Linked DNA regions of Nothobranchius furzeri. The protein of the gene in region 1 binds, or shares a complex with, the protein of each later gene. Links are inferred from orthologs where the notes say so. Each region holds a gene or a part of one and is shown in the gene's direction. Other genes may lie near its edges.

Region 1 (8,385 bases):
CACATGAAAGGAGTTCAACGGTGGATGGCCAGACAGAAACTGGACCGACACAGCTCTCGGAACATCAGGATCACAGCAGCCTGCACTGCTGCACTTCGGCCCTGGAGAAATGGACATCTCCTGTTGCAGGGAGTGCCCATGGGCACAGTGCAAAGCAGAAAAGTGATCACGACAGACGCCTCTCTGTCAGGTTGTGGTGGTGGTGGTGGTGGTGATGGTGTGTGTGTGTGTGTGGGGGGGGTCTTCGGAGGAGACCGGTGAATGGGTCCTGGCCCTCCCACATGCTCAGGTTCCACATAAATTATTTAGAACTGTCGGCAGTCTACATGACGTTGAGACATTTCCTCCCTCTCCTCGTAAACCATCATGTTCTGGTACGAACAGACAACACAACTGTTGTGGCATACATATATCGGCAGGGCGGTCTGAGATCCCAAAGCCTGCGCATGTTAGCTCACAAGCTTGTTCTGTGGAGCAGCAGACACTTCTTGTCTCTGAGAGCCACTCATGTACCGGGGATACGGAACCTGGAGGCAGATCTTCTCTCCTGAGGGAAACTCCTGTACGCGGAGTGGAGACTTCACCCCGAGGTGGTCAGGATGATCTGGATGCGCTTCAGGCAGGCCTCGATAGACCTGTTTTCCTCTCGAGAGAACTCTCAGTGCCCCATGTTTTTCTCCCTACACGACCAGGACACACCTCTGGGAGTGGATGCATTCGCCCACAGATGGCCACAGACCCTGCTCTATGCGTTTCCCCCTGTGGCTCTCATCTCACCCACGCTCACCAGAGTGAGAACGGAGGATCTGGTAATGATTCTGATTGCGCCCCATTGGCCATCGAAACACTGGCTGGCGGAGATCACACAACTCCTTTGTGGAGAACCGTGGCCCCTGCCCCTACGCAGAGATGTGCTATCTCAGGCACAAGGGGAGGTTTTCCGCCCACATCCAGAGAGATTGTCTCTCTGGGCTTGGCTCATGAGCAGTCCACCTACAAGCTGTAGGACTCCCACAGAGGGTCATTGAGACCATTCAGGGCGCAAGGGCTCCCTCAACTAGGTCTCTGTATGACTGCAAGTGATCTATTTTCGAAAAATGGTGTGGGGAGAAACAGGACATTCCTTTTCAGTGCTCCGTGGCGGTCATACTGACCTTCTTGCAGGACCTGATGGATAAAGGAAAAGCTTTCTCCACCATCAAGGTGTATTTGGCTGCAATATCAGCCTGCCATATTGGCTTTGAAGGGAAGTCGGTTGGACAGCATCCCCTTGTGAGTCGATTTATGAGAGGCGTGCGAAGGCAAGTTCCCGTCTCTAGGAATCTGGCCCCACCCTGGGACCTCCCGCTAGTTCTGGAGGCCTTAATGTCTTCTCCTTTTGAACCACTGGAGCAGGTGGATTTGAAGGTGGCTACATTAAAAACGGCGCTGTTGCTGGCACTTGTATCGGCTAAACGTGTGGGTGAAATACATGCTCTGTCTGTTCACCCGTCATGTACCAAATTTTCCCAAGGGGACTCGAAAGTGACCTTACTCCCTAATCCCACCTTTATGCCAAAGGTGCTGGGGGCTTTTCCCCCTATTTCTTTGGTTTCCTTCTGCCCTCCCCCCTTCTCCTCAGTGGAGCAGCAGAATCTCCGTGCACTTTGTCCGGTGTGTGCATTAAGTATATACATGGACAGGACAAAGACCATGCGAAAGCGCAACCAGCTTTTTGTATCCTAGGCCAAAAATCGGTTGGGGAAGCCCATATCAAAGCAGGGACTTTCTCACTGGATTGTAGGAGCCATTTCCTTAGCCTACAACTCCAAAGGGGCTCTACCTCCTTAGGGCCTTCGTGCCCATTCTACTAGAGGACTTTCTTCCTCATGGGCGTGTCCATTCAGGAAATATGTGCTGCGGCGAGTTGGAGCTCCCCTCACACATTCACTTGGTTCTACAAGCTAGATGTCACAACACCGTCACTAGCTCACTCGGTGCTGGGTACGGCTCCCACTATCTGAGCTGTGCACACGATATGATATTTGGGAGTACAGTCTGTGGATCATGTTCTGCCTTGCAATCCGGGAGTCAGTATTTTCCTACAGTGAGACACGAAACGAATGCTATAAAAGAGAAGTTTAGGTTATTGTCGTAACACCGGTTCTCTGAGTAGCATGAGTGAGTGTCTCACCATACCGCCCTCCTTACTATTTCGTAGCGAGGAAGAGGTGGTCATTTTAGAATACTGTCAGTGAGGAGCCGGCCTAATATATAGGTGGGGTTCCCGCCTCCTATATGCTGACAGATTTGTTCCAGCCAATCAGGGCTGGCAGTGTAGAATAAGAGCTTCTGATTAAGTCATGCCTAGGCGTTCCCATAGTGAGACACTCACTCATGCTACTCTGAGAACTGGGGTTACGACAGTAACCTAAAGTTTTCCCTGCATTACCAAAGCAGGCTGGCTGCACGTTTTCGAAGCTGTCTGATAGTTTTTCCTCACTAAAACGTCAGTCCTGTGAGAGAGGTGCACGCATTCTGGCACCTTAGCTTGTTTGAACTGTGTGCCGTCAGAAACATTCAAACCATTTTTAAAAGAGAAGTTGAACTTTCAAGTCAACTAAAGTGCGCGACTCTGCACTCGCGCTGATGAAGCATGAACCAAGCTTCAGAAATCAGCCTGAACCTCCTCCGATGTGGGAGGAGTCTCTCTCTCCCTTACTCAACTTCGTTCTCTCTCTCTCTCTCTCGTCCCGGGCTCACCTACGGTATCTGCTGTAGCAGCGCTGTGTGTGGGAACATAAAACAGGGAAAATAACCTGTACATGCAGCTCTGTCAGATGTGGAGTTGAGCTCGGCTCTGGACGGTACGCCCCACCCCCCTCCCCCACGCTGGCTTTTGCCGCTGCCATAACACGAGGGGAAAACCCCGGATGTAAAAACGAAAAAGTTTCACAACTGATCCCGGATCAGTCAAAACCGCTAAAACCGCAGCTTTGACGGTCACGTGATCGTGCCGTTTGAAATCACAGCATTGGTCCAGAAACGATAGATCGCTCAGCCCTGTGTCAGACAGCCTGAAAACTGCTACGCTTCACTCAGCCACATTATAGTAACTAACACATCACTTTACATGCTCAATAACATTAACGGCGTTGCAACGATGAGAAAACGAATGAATTAGACTACACTGTTACCTAAAAAATAACGTTGTTAGTAACACCCGTACTCCCAATACTCTTAATAAGTGATCATCTAATTCATGATGCTGTTTTCTCGCCTTTAGCTTCACTGATAAGTGGATTCCCAGCGTCATCATCTCTCACCGCTACAAAGCACAAGACACACCTGCGCGCAGAACCTTTGAGCAAGCCCTGACTGGAGCATTCATGTCTGCGGTGATAAAGGACCTGAGGCCCAGCGCTCTGCCCTTCGTTGCCAGCCTGATCCGCCATTACACCATGGTTGCTGTGGCTCAGCAGTGTGGTGAGGGACTGGGCTTTTAGCTTTTATGATGCAATAGCCTTCCCGGCTGCTTAATGTATTTATATATGTATGTAATTGTAACAGAGTTTTATAAAAAATTTTTATCTTAACAATGTTTTCTAATAAATCAAATGACATATATAAATCTGAAAGTTGTTTTAGTGAGTTTTTAAAAATCATTCATCGGTTTGTTTTTTTGTTCTCCTCTTCATGCCAGGTCCGTTCCTGCTGCCATCCTATCAGCTCGGCAGCCAGCCAAGCACCGCCATGTTCCACAGTGAGGAGAATGGTTCTAAGGGCATGGATCCACTGGTTCTCATTGATGCCATAGCGATCTGCATGGCCTACGAGGAGAAGGAGCTGTGTAAGATTGGAGAAGTGGCTCTGGCTGTCATCTTTGATGTTGCCAGCATCATCCTTGGCTCTAAGGAGCGAGTAAGTCACATTGGGAGGAGGCGATTGGAGGGAGTTTTTTATCCTTCCATTAAAACAACTTCATTTTAAATCAGTGCTTTAGTTTTTATAGTTGTAGTTTAGTTCTTCACACCCCCACCCACTGTGGCTTCTGCCCCTCCAGGCATGCCAGTTGCCCCTGTTCTCCTACATCGTGGAGCGTCTGTGTGCCTGTTGCTATGAGCAGGCCTGGTACGCCAAACTCGGCGGTGTGGTGTCCATCAAGTTTCTGATGGAGAGACTTCCTCTGATCTGGGTGCTACAGAACCAGCTTACGTTCCTCAAAGCCCTGCTCTTTGTCATGATGGACCTCACCGGAGAGGTGAGATTATTTTTGCTGTGATTTTTCTGTTTCCATCATCTTTTAACATACGGAGATTTATTTTTGTCATGCTGTTGGGCCTTTACGGTTAAAAGTACTGCATTCATGCTCCTATTGATTTTCACACAGGTGTCAAACGGGGCTGTAGCCATGGCAAAGACTACTTTAGAGCAGCTGCTAGTGCGCTGTGCCACTCCGCTGAAGGATGAGGAGAAGACCGATGAGCTGCTGGCTGCTCAGGATAAATCCTTTCACATGGTCACCCATGACCTCGTTAGAGAAGTCACCTCCCCGAACTCAACTGTCAGGAAGCAGGCCATGCATTCCCTCCAGGTGCTGGCGCAAGTCACCGGCAAGAGTGTGACGGTCATCATGGAACCACACAAAGAGGTGAAACCAGACTCTTAAAGGCTTTGGGTGCAGAATTACCTGTGTTCAGTAAAATGCACCTGATTCAGGTGCTCGGCTACCCTCACAGACGCCTTTTAATCAAAATTTCTCTAAATTAACAAGATTGATTTGAAAGTTCTGTTTGTGTAGCACAGCACAGACTGACCTCCTAAACAACAATGCTGTTCAGGTTTTGCAGGATATGGTTCCTCCTAAGAAACACCTGCTGCGTCACCAGCCTGCAAACGCCCAGATCGGTCTGATGGAGGGAAACACCTTCTGCACCACGCTGCAGCCCCGCCTCTTTACCATGGACCTGAATGTCATGGAGCATAAGGTCTTCTACACTGAGGTATGGAGGCTTTTCTCTGAGCTAAACTAAAGCTCAGAGACACAAACACATTCATGGTTTAGTTAAGTCTAGATCTAGTTCTACCAGACAAGTCTTGGTTGCTGTGTTTTTATTGACTTTTGCATCAGATGTGTTGTTTTTCTCTTTAGCTTTTGAATCTGTGTGAGGCAGAGGATGCTGCCCTGATGAAGCTGCCATGTTATAAGAGCCTTCCCTCCCTGGTTCCTCTTCGTATTGCTGCTCTCAGTAAGTCCTCCCAGCTAATCAGGATTCAATTTTGGTTTTCTTAGTCAGTCCACTGAATTTACAACATGTCATTTTTTCTCTTTAAGTTATGTGTGTTTTTATAATTCCTCAGAGTGAAAGTGTTAAATCTTTGTGTCTTCACCTTGATCAGATGCCCTGGCAGCCTGTAATTACTTACCACAGTCCAGAGAGAAGATCATCGCTGCCCTGTTCAAAGCTCTGAACTCCACCAACAATGAGCTGCAGGAAGCGGGTGAAGCATGCATGAGGAAGGTCAGCACAGCTTACCCACTCTGTTTGTTTCTCTCTCTCGCTTTGTGACATCTAGAGTTGGACAAAAACTAGAAAAACAATGCATAATTGTGAGCTCATGTCTACGCTGGCTGCTGGGGAGGCGTCATGCTTTTATGCTAAAGCTATAAATCGTATTTTCTGCCATCATTTATTAAATGTGCAGAAAACAAGGCCTAGAGGATTAAATTTAAGTTACTACTAAAAAAATTCAGTTGTTTACGCAGATGTTTAATTACTAAATCAGTGAAGGAAAGAAAGTTGTGAAAATCCAGGAAGGAATTAAGAGAAAGTGAAACATTTACAGGCCAATAAAATCACAAAAATGTGAAAAACAAGTCATATCTTGATATTTAACGAAATTAGTTGTGTTTATTTTTATCCCACAACAAAATAATTAAATAGAACCTCTTAATCTGCTAAGTATTTTTCTCTTTGAATTCAAAATATTGAAGCATTAGATAATTTCACTGTTTTATTCTTCATGATGTTTTTCTTTCTAGCATCTTTCTATAAAATCCAAGACGTTCCAGCGTTCGATAATAACTTTTCTGACATCATTTATGACCATAATCTGAGTTTATCACAGATTATTATGCATTGATCTGTCTGTTTTCAAAGATTTACATTGAAAATGACAGTTCAGTGATTTTAGTGATTTTAATAGTGAATTGTTAACGACACAGATTCGACCACTGTAGAGTTTTTCTTGCACCAGTGTAATTTTTAAAATCTTTTCCCTGATCACTGTTCTCTAAATCTTTAGTGTTGAATAGATTTAGGTTTAATTTCACTTGCTTGGAAAAGTCACACCTGTCTCTAATCTATCTGCAGTCTCCTTTGAGCCCAGACGAGCCCCAGATTAGCAGACATAACCTTTGTAATTATGGATTAGTCTGTGCCCTTAAGGGCAAAAAGCAATCTTTGTAAGAAACACGGTTGCATCCTCTAACTCTTTTTCTAAATCACATTTTCTGCCTCCTGTGAATGGAGTTCGTTCTCCCCCTGTTACCACTTATCTTCATATGAGCCTCCCTCAGCTTTATCACACTGTCCCTGAACCAGCTCTCCTCCTATTCATCAAAGTATCCTCACCGTCTGGCCTTCTATCCGTCTGCTCCATGCTCTCTGTCCTTATTCTTCTATTTCCCAGCTCTGTCACTCCTCCTCACTGTGCCGGGATTCTTTTTTCTATTTTTCTTTCCATTTTCTGTTCCCTCCATTCTTTCATCTCTACTCTGCTAGCACTAATGAGCGTTGCCATGGCTAGATCGATACAGGATGGAGTGTTTGTTCTCAACGCTGAGAGGAAAATGAATGTGGCTGCCATGCATCCCCCCACCCTCATCTGTGTGTGTGTGTGTGTGTGTGTGTGTGTGTGTGTGTGTGTGTGTGTGTGTGTGTGTGTCATCAGTGTTTGGTTGGTATCTGTGTTTGTTCACATATCACTAGCTCCTCATTTGAGTGGCCTTTGTTTTTTGATAGAGGCCCAAGGGTGATAAGCAGGTCATGTGATGGATCACTTTTATTTCTGTGTAGATGTAATCAGGGCTTAATTTGAGCCGGATCTTGCCGGAACAAGATCCGGAACTATCTTATTTTGAAAGGACCGTTCCGGCAGCTGTCTGCTAGGTTCTGGCAACTCACGCGACCAACTTGTGCTATACGCAGGACAGGGGCGCAGATAGGATTTTCAAACTGGGGGGACAAAGTTCCAATGTACCCTCCCCCAAACACACAAACACACACACATGTACACATACACACACTATTGCAAAAGCCTTAACTAGAGCTCAGTCAGTTTGTGTAATTTCATCCAATGGTTTACGAAAAAACTAACACTATTATATACGTGTTTGAAGCTATTATGCAATGGAACACTATCCAAATCAGTCACTTGTTATTCTCCCAATTAAGTACTAACCAAAACCTCATGCTTTATGCAAAACATGCTTTATTTAAACATTAACTGATTTTAAGCACACCAATCTTTACAGAAAACATAAAAGCAAAAAAAAAAGTTTTTCTTGAGAAACTAGAAGAAAAAATGTCCAAGAAAAGGAAAAACTTGCATATAGTCAACAGAGCTACTCCAACATGCAGCCACCCAGAGCAGCGCAGTTCCGGAATGTTCCGGCGTCAGCTCAGGAACTGCCATTGTTTAAAACATCCTTAGCATCAATCTTGGACGATTTAGACTTGGGCTTTTCTTTGAGACATGAGCAGAAAGAGGTATTTAAGTCCTTCATTTAGAAAAAAGGATGTATTTGCCTCTTTTTCAGTGTACGGCGGTTTGCCCCGTTGACTGATTTTTGTAGCGATGAATATGCCATGTTCGTTGCTCTTATTGGTCCTATCGCTGTCCAATTCCATGTAGAGGCTGTTTGAAAGACGGTCGATTCAGCCTCATGACCGAGCTCTGTCTATGGTCGTGGCCAGACCGTACATTCACAAATACATCACGTTGTGCTTGGCTACAGCTAATGACTAGTTTAAATAAAGCTGAGACTGAAGGGGTAAATTATTGTAGCTTCAATTTTCAAATTTCATACCGATTCATGTGACTGTACGTATTTTAGAAACCTTTGGACTTGTGTGGTAATTTAATATTTATAACTCCTGCTGGTGATCTTTATGCTTATAAATAATCAGAATTCCATGTAAGTAGCTGTAAGCTAAGCTGACAGCAGCAGGAAGGTTTATGGGTCGTTTGCCTGACCTGCCATGAAATGTAAGAGACTGGAGCTGGTTTTACAACAGCAGCAGAAGCATGTTGGTCTGTTCCGATCTTGTGCTCAGAGTAGGTGCTAGCTTACCAGTCCTAAATGACATCAACTTCATTTCAGGAAACCGTCAAAAAAAGGTA
Region 2 (8,385 bases), on another chromosome or scaffold:
TTACCCGGTTACATTAACAGCAATTAACCAGTTAACTATGTACATCTCTAGAATACATATTACTTGTATATTTGGTCCACTTTTGATCGGATTAGATGAAATACCAGCCTATCCTGCTGGTAAATCAAAAGTTTCTTTTTCATCAAAACAGCTATTTAAGGCAATGCTGCTTTTATTTTGATAGTGGGTTAGCTAGTTGGCATTGTGAGGGATGGTGAAGAGTTTGGGGGGGAAAATTTTACAGGTTACACACTAATATTCACAATAACTGATAGGGCTGTGTTAAAAAAATCAATCCTTCTATTCTGAATCGATTCTCAAAAATATTCACGAGGATCGATTCAAACGTCCAAAGATCGATTTAACCCTTTAAGCACCAAAGCTGCTCACTTGCAACAACTGTCATTGCTGACTTTAAAGAGCCACAGCTGCATATATGATCCTTCATGAAGTTACTACTTTACACCAGAAGATAGTGGAGATGTCCATCTTCAGTAAGCTGAGCAACACTTGTGTTCATATTGAAACAGGGTATCAGCAGGTCCTTAAAAAGCATAAAGTCTTAAATTTGCTTTTCCAAATTTAAGGCCTTAAAAATCCTTAAAAATGACAAATAATCCTTAAATACAGTTTCCAAAGGTCTTAAATTACCAAAGACTCAATAAACAAGGTTCTTTTATTTCTATAAACTTTTTGTGAATTTCTAGTTAGTGTTCAGCATGTTTTGTGTATGATATTGGCATAAGTGGAACCATACACATTCAGCTGGTTGTGAAAGGGGACTATTTTCAGATGAGCACATTAGCTGGTTAAGCTAGTGGGAGCTTGCGTCATGGGGAAGTGCAAGTTTAATGGTAACTGGATGGCTAATCCCACGTTCGTGACGTGGTTGGCACCGGTTCCAGGCAATAGCTGGAAATTATAGCTTTAATTTAATAATAAAAAAAGCTTAAATTTGGTCAAAGTGGCCTTAAAAAAAGTCTTAAAAAGTCTTAAATTTGACTCCCTTAAACCTGTGGAAGTTTCTGAGTTTTTCGAGCTTGAAAACCGTTGGGTAGCTCCAGGTTATGGGAGAGAACGAGAGGAGACGACGAACGCAGCACATGGTGGTATATTATAGGGGATAACTTACAAATGCTGACAGGTCTGGTCATTGGTGACTCTCTTTGTCTGGTAATGACCGCCTCCAATTCAGTTGAAGAATATTCACTCATCCAGTCTGAAAGAGTGCTTCACGTGGAGAAAGTGAGGCTAATGGAGCTAAAACGTTCCACATGCTGATTCTAAAGCTTTCTCACCGGGACATGGTGGATGTAGAAAGAATAGTAAAAACACTGCTAATTATGACAGACGTAGCGGGAATGTTGGGAATAAAAGCCATAAAAAAAAAAAACAGCAGACGCGTTTAAAATGGAAGTCAAAGAGTGTCACATAATCAAATGAATTTTCAATGTATCCCAGCCATCTGTGGTCCAGATGGAGACCTTTTCTTGGAGCAAATGACCATTACATTTAAGGGAAGGTCAACCCTAAAGATGTTCAAGCCCAAAAAAAATCTGACCAATATTGTTAAAAAGCATTTTTGAGTGAGGCCAATATAAAAAAGTGTGTGTGTGTGTGTGAGAGAGATGCCCTAGGTTCGTGTTCCAATAGCAGTCCACTTGATGCAGTCATTGACACGTCTTCCTTCCACTGTCGACTGTCCTGGATCGGTTTGCTAATTGAGCCTGACGGCAAGTTTGAAAAGCACAGTTCTGAGACAGATTTGGCCACACAGCACATGTCAGTAATTTGTTGTTGAATGTTAATAGTGTTAATGTACTACACAACAACATAGGCATGTAATTAAGCTAACAGCAAAAAAAAAGAAGAGTTCGCTGTTCCAATATATCAGATCAGATCAAATCAAATTGTGATAATCGATTCTAATTCTTGAGAATTGGAATCGAATCGATTCTTGAAATTTGAATCGATACCCAGCTCCAATAACAGACAACGTAATATTTCTTTATTTGTATTTCTAATATAAAACTCTACCATTATGGACTTTCTTCTCTGCTGTTTGGAGTATGTTTGCGATGCAATACATTATGGGATACTTTGCCAGTCCGAGTCCGCAGAAGGGTGCGTTACTGCATCGTTGATGCAATGGGCGGAGCAAGAACACATCCGGGAACTTTGAGTAACTTGCCATGATGCGTACTTAGATTGGAACAGTACTTGGGCCATCGCTGTTGATGTTTCACAAGTAGGCGAGTACACATGCTGAGAAATGACCATTTCAGCTGATTTCTACTTCCTGAGACAGACACACCTGAGCCAAGTATGACTTAAAGGGCATTCATTCCTACTCGAGACCGCTGCCAATACAGTGATTTAAATGAGTGTGCCACACCTTTAAATAACTGTTTGATGTGAGTTTTTACTAACACACAAACTACATCTTAATACCGGGTTTAAATAAGGTTTAATTAACAACAATAATTATCTTAGAAATGACCATCATTTAGACAGTCTGATTTGCTGTGGCTTTAACCAAATTCATTCTCAGCTCAGTCAGTGCACTAGCACTAGTGTCCGTGCACTGACTGCTGGTGAAACACCAGTCAGTGCACTAGCACTAGTGTCCGTGCACTGACTGCTGGTGAAACACCAGTCAGTGCACTAGCACTAGTGTCCGTGCACTGACTGCTGGTGAAACACCAGTCAGTGTTAAACCTCTCCAAACCCAGCTTTAGCTCTGTTGTGCCTCTGCTCAGGCTGAGTGAGCTGCAGCTCTAACCTCTTGTGTTTGTTGTAGAAGAGGAAGGCGGAGACGGTTCCCGTGGCGACTCAGGTGCCCCCGGCCCCTCCCGTTCCGTCTCTACCGAGTTCGACTGAAGCCTCTCAGGCGGCGGTTTTCCCTGCGGTGCGAGAAGCCACCACCCCCACCTTAAACACCTTTAAGGCCAGAGAAGACCATGAGCAGTTGTCCTCTCTCACCACGGTGAATAAAACACTCTGAAGCTCTTTTATGTGTTTATTTGTTGTTCATGAACAGCGTCTCGTTCCTCCCCAGCAGCAGAATGGCACTGCCCGGCGCCTCATCCCCCCCCAGCCTGGGAGGAAGAGGAAAGCTAACTGTGAGGGGGCCAACGAGGTAAAATCTATCAGACTGTAGAAACGGTGATCTAACGCACTAATCTACCGTTTACTTCTATCTTCTTTCTCCACACAGCCACTCTGGTTGTTGTCTGCATATTTTATTCTTTGTTGTTTCATCTGTAGGATCATTTATGAAATGTTTGGGAAACCTCCATTTTCTGGATAGGAGAATGTTTTACTTTGGGGGGTTTATCCCACCAGAAAGGGATTTTCTTTTCTTTTGACAGCATTTTAAATGGTAAAAGGGTAGATCATTAAGGCAATTGCGGTCAGCTCGGCCTGGGCCGGGTAGGGACAGTGACAGGCTGTTAGTAGCTATGTTAAACGGGCACAAGTAATTGGAACGAACGCCCAATCAGATCAAAAATTCTTCATGTAAACATATCAGTAAGAATATTCTGATCCGAAACGGCCCGATTCAAACAAAATTTCATTCCGATTGACTGGGGTAGTTTTGTCCGATCATCATTCCGATTGACGTCCATGTACACATTCATTCGGATTGTTGCAGTAACGTAATGCCCACTGCGCATGTGTGCAACATAGTCTTAGCCAGCGAGCCTCCCCGCCATCATTTGGATGGCCTGACTTAAAAAGTAGCGGCCTAATTAATGAGCGACGGCTTTTAATATCGATGGCAAGCTGTCCTCGTTTGAGTAATATCTAATCTAGAATTTGCGCTTGGTGGAAGTAAAATGAAAATCTGATTATTGTACAAATCATTCAACAAGCGTGTCCCAGTCTGTAGCTACTGGAAATACGCAGGTTCATTGTGGGGTTTGCAGCACAGATCCCCGTTTCTGTCAGCTGTGAATGCAGCAGCTGTTTCTGCACCAGGTGGAAAGAAGACAGGGTAACATTGCAGGCCTGCCAACCTGTACGAATTTTGCATAGTTAGTGCGCAGTTTGGCATCTATTTACGCTGGTACGACTCACCCCTCTAAACTACGCAAAAAGCTGTGGATACGTGAGTTGAGTTCTGTGGCAAATATGCACGTGTGGTACTCATGTCTGACAACATGACTCAGTGGCGTGGTGAAGAAGTTTAAGCCAATCATCATTGAAAAGCAGAGAAAAAACAGCTAACTATCCTGCCTAACCTAGCATAACACCCCCGCCCCCCTCCTCCCTGCTTCGTCCTGCCCGCTGCTCCTCTCTCCCTCCGGTTCACCACTCGCTGCTGTTCTGGCAAGGTAATTGTGTGTGTGTGTGTGTGTGTGTGTGTGTGTGTGTGTGTGTGTGTGTGTGTGTGTGTGTGTGTGTGTGCGCCTTTATCCATTGCATATAGATTTGGCCTGTATATAAGGAGGAATGTGATTATACAGTTTAAACATGCAGCCATTATTTTTTTGCAGCTCGTTTTGCAACTCATGCTATGGCAGATGAGGGAGAAGCAGACAGGGAGGGATTGTTTAGCAGACCTGCCAAAAAGAGGGTCCATGTTTCTCAGAAGATTTTGTCCAAATATCAAGAACAGCGGCCATGCTTGCGACCCTCTAAACAACCTCACCATGCATTTTGCACAATCTTCAATTATGATGTGGACATAAGCCACCAGGGGGCTGCAGGTAATTAGTAAATTAGCCCTGGTGTTGTTTGCATATTTGCTTTAATGTAACTATTGAACAGAAACATCTATTGCAATTTACAAAATAAATAATTACCATTAAATAAATGTTTTTTTATTAATTTGTATTGAAATAATGTAATGCAAGTAACTTGTATAAGCACATATTATATAAGGAAACTTTAGAGTTTTACAGTTTAATATTAAAATACATGATACTTCAGTCAAACTGGTCAGGTCAAACTGTAAAAATGTCTATAACCTTACCAGTCAAAATAAGAACTGTGGGTGTGTGTGTGTGGTAAAATTTTCCATCCAGTGAATGGGGAGATTACAGCGTGAAAAGCAATGGAGTTGCAAAAGTCCGCGAAAAAACGCAGCACAAGTGGTACTCGAAAATTTTTGACAAGGTTGGCAGGTCTGACATTGGTTAAACAGACCTGCTTTTAAGGAGGCTGCTGAATAGAAAACTTCATCAGTTAAATATTCTGGGTGACAGTAAAGTCCAATCTGTGTTAATAGCTCATTAACACAGATGAGATGCGGTTTGTTTATGAACACATGATGAACATGGGCTTCCAAACTTTACGAACATCTCCTGTTATTTAGTTTGAACCAAATTTTCTCAACTGTTTCAGCTGATTGTCACATTTTATGTGTAATAAGCCACAACAGAGCTCAGTAATAAAACATGAGTCTGAACCCCCCACCCCCACCCCACACACACACACACAGCGTCGCGTCACACCCGCGGACCAGCTGATCAGGAGGCAGAGACGAGGAAAACCCTTATTTTATTATTGTCAACAATAAAACGCAGCAAAGCATAAACAACCTCTATGAGTAAAATGAAAATGTTAAATTGATTAAATTAACCAGGAAAGCGGGAAGAATTGTTATTTGTGATTTAACATTTTTCATTTTGTTGCATGCCATTTAAAAACAAATTTCTGGGATATTTGATATTTGCTAAAAGAAGCCTTTTCGTTTGGGATATATTCAGGCTTTGTCATGTAGCTAGTTATATTTATCTTGTTTAACTGGAGCATAGGACATAGCATTAACAATTGTAAACTAGTAACAGCTGTAATTCATGTGGGTCAGGTTAGTTTGCGATAAAGTTAAAAAACAAAAACAGAAGAAGTCAGTGGGCTAGGCTGAGTTTGCGTGAGTGGGCGGGGTTGACTCTGGTGCAGCTCCACCTTTGCAGTTCTGCAGCGAGCACCCTCTGGTCGGCTCCACGTGAATAACGATGTAAACGCAATGGCCCCACCCAGCCCAGACCAAGCTGACCCCCCAAAAGACTCCTCCTGGATGATGTCACTCTTACCTGAACAGCTCACCTGTCTGTAGCGGACCTCCAGGAGGTTCTTCATGTTTTAACCCTAACCCCACATAAAAATACATTTTCCACTTTACTGTTTATGATTGTCAGATTACGGTGGTTTTGTCACAATCCATCCCTGTAATGTTCTAAAACCTTTATACTATCGTTTAATTCTCTCATTTAACCTGAAACCAACATTTTCAGTTTATCATTTTATTCCTTCCCCTAGTTTCCAAACCCTCTGTTTTTGTGTCTTTTTCTTCTAGATGATTAAGGTTTTGCAATATAACAAGCCTCAAAGTGCCAGTGTGTTCCTACCACCACCAGAGGTGTGTTCCACTTGATGTTTTTGCCTGTTGTGAGTGTGTTTGTGTCCAAATTTGGTGCCATAGTGGTAAAACCTCTCCATTCCTCCTGGTAGTACTTCCAGGATCATTAGGTGTTTAAAGTGATGTATATCTGATGTGATTAACCTCCACCAGGACTCTCAGGACAGTTCTGATGGCATCCCAACAGCTCCCCGCATGACGGGCAGTTTGGTGTCTGATCGCAGCCACGACGATATCGTCACCCGGATGAAAAATATAGAGTGTATCGAGTTGGGACGGCACAGACTGAAGCCCTGGTACTTCTCCCCGTACCCACAGGAGCTCACCACGCTGCCCATCCTCTACCTCTGTGAATTCTGTCTCAAATACGTCAAAAGCCTCAAGTGTCTCCAGAGGCATCTGGTAAGAATTGCTTCAGTCACATTATCCTCGTGGCTTTGTGTTGCTCAGAGAGTCAAAAGTAAAGGTGGCTCATACAAAATGTCAGGTAGGCATATCAGCTGTAGCTGTTAGGAATGTTCAGCCGAATCGTGTTTCGGCTCGCTGAGCTGGGAAGGGAATTCTTATGTGGGTCTGCTGCTTTACTGTATTTCTCTCTTTTCTTCCAGACCAAATGTAATTTAAGACATCCTCCAGGAAACGAGATCTACCGCAAAGGCACCATCTCCTTCTTTGAGATTGATGGCAGGAAAAACAAAGTAATTAATGAAAATCTTTTCTCCTCGTTTTCTTCTTTCAGTTTTTGGTTCAAACATGGACTTCATGTCTTTCAGAATTATTCCCAGAACCTGTGTTTACTTGCAAAGTGTTTTCTGGACCACAAAACGTTGTATTACGACACAGACCCTTTCCTCTTCTACGTCATGACGGAGTACGATTCTAAAGGCTTCCACATAGTGGGCTACTTCTCAAAGGTACCAGAGGGATGACCGCTCACCTGGATCCAGTTCTGTGGCCATAGTCCATCTTTCTGTTTTCTGTTTGCAGGAAAAAGAGTCGACTGAAGATTATAACGTGGCTTGCATCCTGACCTTACCTCCCTACCAACGCAGAGGTTATGGAAAGCTGCTGATTGAGTTCAGTAAGTCATCACGCCGTCAGGAGGACTCTGCCTACTTCAGCTTCTTGACATTTCTGTTGGTTTTATGTGCGGTGGTGTTCAGGCTACGAGTTATCGAAGGTGGAGGGGAAGACGGGAACTCCCGAGAAGCCTCTGTCTGACCTGGGACTCTTGTCTTATCGCTCTTACTGGTCCCAGACTATCCTGGAAATCCTCATGGACCTTAAACCTGAAAATGGAGAAAGGCCACAGATCACCATCAAGTAAGGCCATTTTTATTTCAGCCTTGGTTCAGAGTCTGGTTCATCTGAACTGAAATCTAACAGTTTGTTTTGCTCAGTGAGATTAGTGAAATCACAAGTGTGAAGAAGGAAGACGTTATTTCAACACTTCAGTATCTTAACCTCATCAACTATTACAAGGTGAGACTCACGTCGGCTTCAGAAGAAGTTTAACCAACAAAATTCTCACTACAATATGGCTCCTTGTCTTGTACTCTTAAAGCCACACCATGCTACTTTTTAATATTCTTAGATCTTTTTCTTGAGCCAGTATGTGCTATAAGGACTCTTTACAGGGTTAATGAATCGTCACTCACCGCTCTCTGTGGCCAGAGTACTGCACTTGCAACTTCAGAGTGTCCGGTCCCTGTTAAAAGTGGCGCTGGCATGCTTGGAGTCTGCTTCCAGCACGTTTTAGATCATGAACACAGCAGATTTGTTATAATTTAGTGATGAATCACTCCTGTAGAAGCTAATGATGGCTGAGAAGACATTTCAGCTGTTAGATTAAGGTGTTAAAAAGATGAACGTACAGCGAGATCTGTTTCAACAGAACACTGGGGGGTGCTAAAAGCAAGCCAAAACTGCCTAGCGTCCCTTTAATCCAAAGACTAATAGTAATGACTTAATATTGGTATAAGAGGTCAATTAGTCATTAATAATGTTCTTTAGCATTT

What was found. Proteins that work in one complex are often made in the same cells at the same time.
Region 2: trrap (region 1) and histone acetyltransferase KAT5 share a complex: the UniProt entries of both Homo sapiens proteins name them as parts of the SWR1-like complex. The link is inferred for Nothobranchius furzeri from reciprocal best matches to the Homo sapiens genes TRRAP and KAT5.

Annotation. Positions count from the first base shown.
Region 1 is NC_091756.1:29,497,181-29,505,565, forward strand, and holds part of trrap (transformation/transcription domain-associated protein), read left to right. Parts: intron 1-3,265; coding exon 3,266-3,465; intron 3,466-3,682; coding exon 3,683-3,900; intron 3,901-4,042; coding exon 4,043-4,240; intron 4,241-4,369; coding exon 4,370-4,630; intron 4,631-4,820; coding exon 4,821-4,982; intron 4,983-5,131; coding exon 5,132-5,228; intron 5,229-5,379; coding exon 5,380-5,501; intron 5,502-8,385. UniProt on the Homo sapiens protein: Adapter protein, which is found in various multiprotein chromatin complexes with histone acetyltransferase activity (HAT), which gives a specific tag for epigenetic transcription activation.
Region 2 is NC_091750.1:47,300,893-47,309,277, reverse strand, and holds part of histone acetyltransferase KAT5, read left to right. Parts: intron 1-2,800; coding exon 2,801-2,986; intron 2,987-3,058; coding exon 3,059-3,139; intron 3,140-6,304; coding exon 6,305-6,367; intron 6,368-6,520; coding exon 6,521-6,769; intron 6,770-6,975; coding exon 6,976-7,065; intron 7,066-7,140; coding exon 7,141-7,281; intron 7,282-7,354; coding exon 7,355-7,448; intron 7,449-7,530; coding exon 7,531-7,690; intron 7,691-7,767; coding exon 7,768-7,849; intron 7,850-8,385. UniProt on the Homo sapiens protein: Catalytic subunit of the NuA4 histone acetyltransferase complex, a multiprotein complex involved in transcriptional activation of select genes principally by acetylation of nucleosomal histones H2A and H4.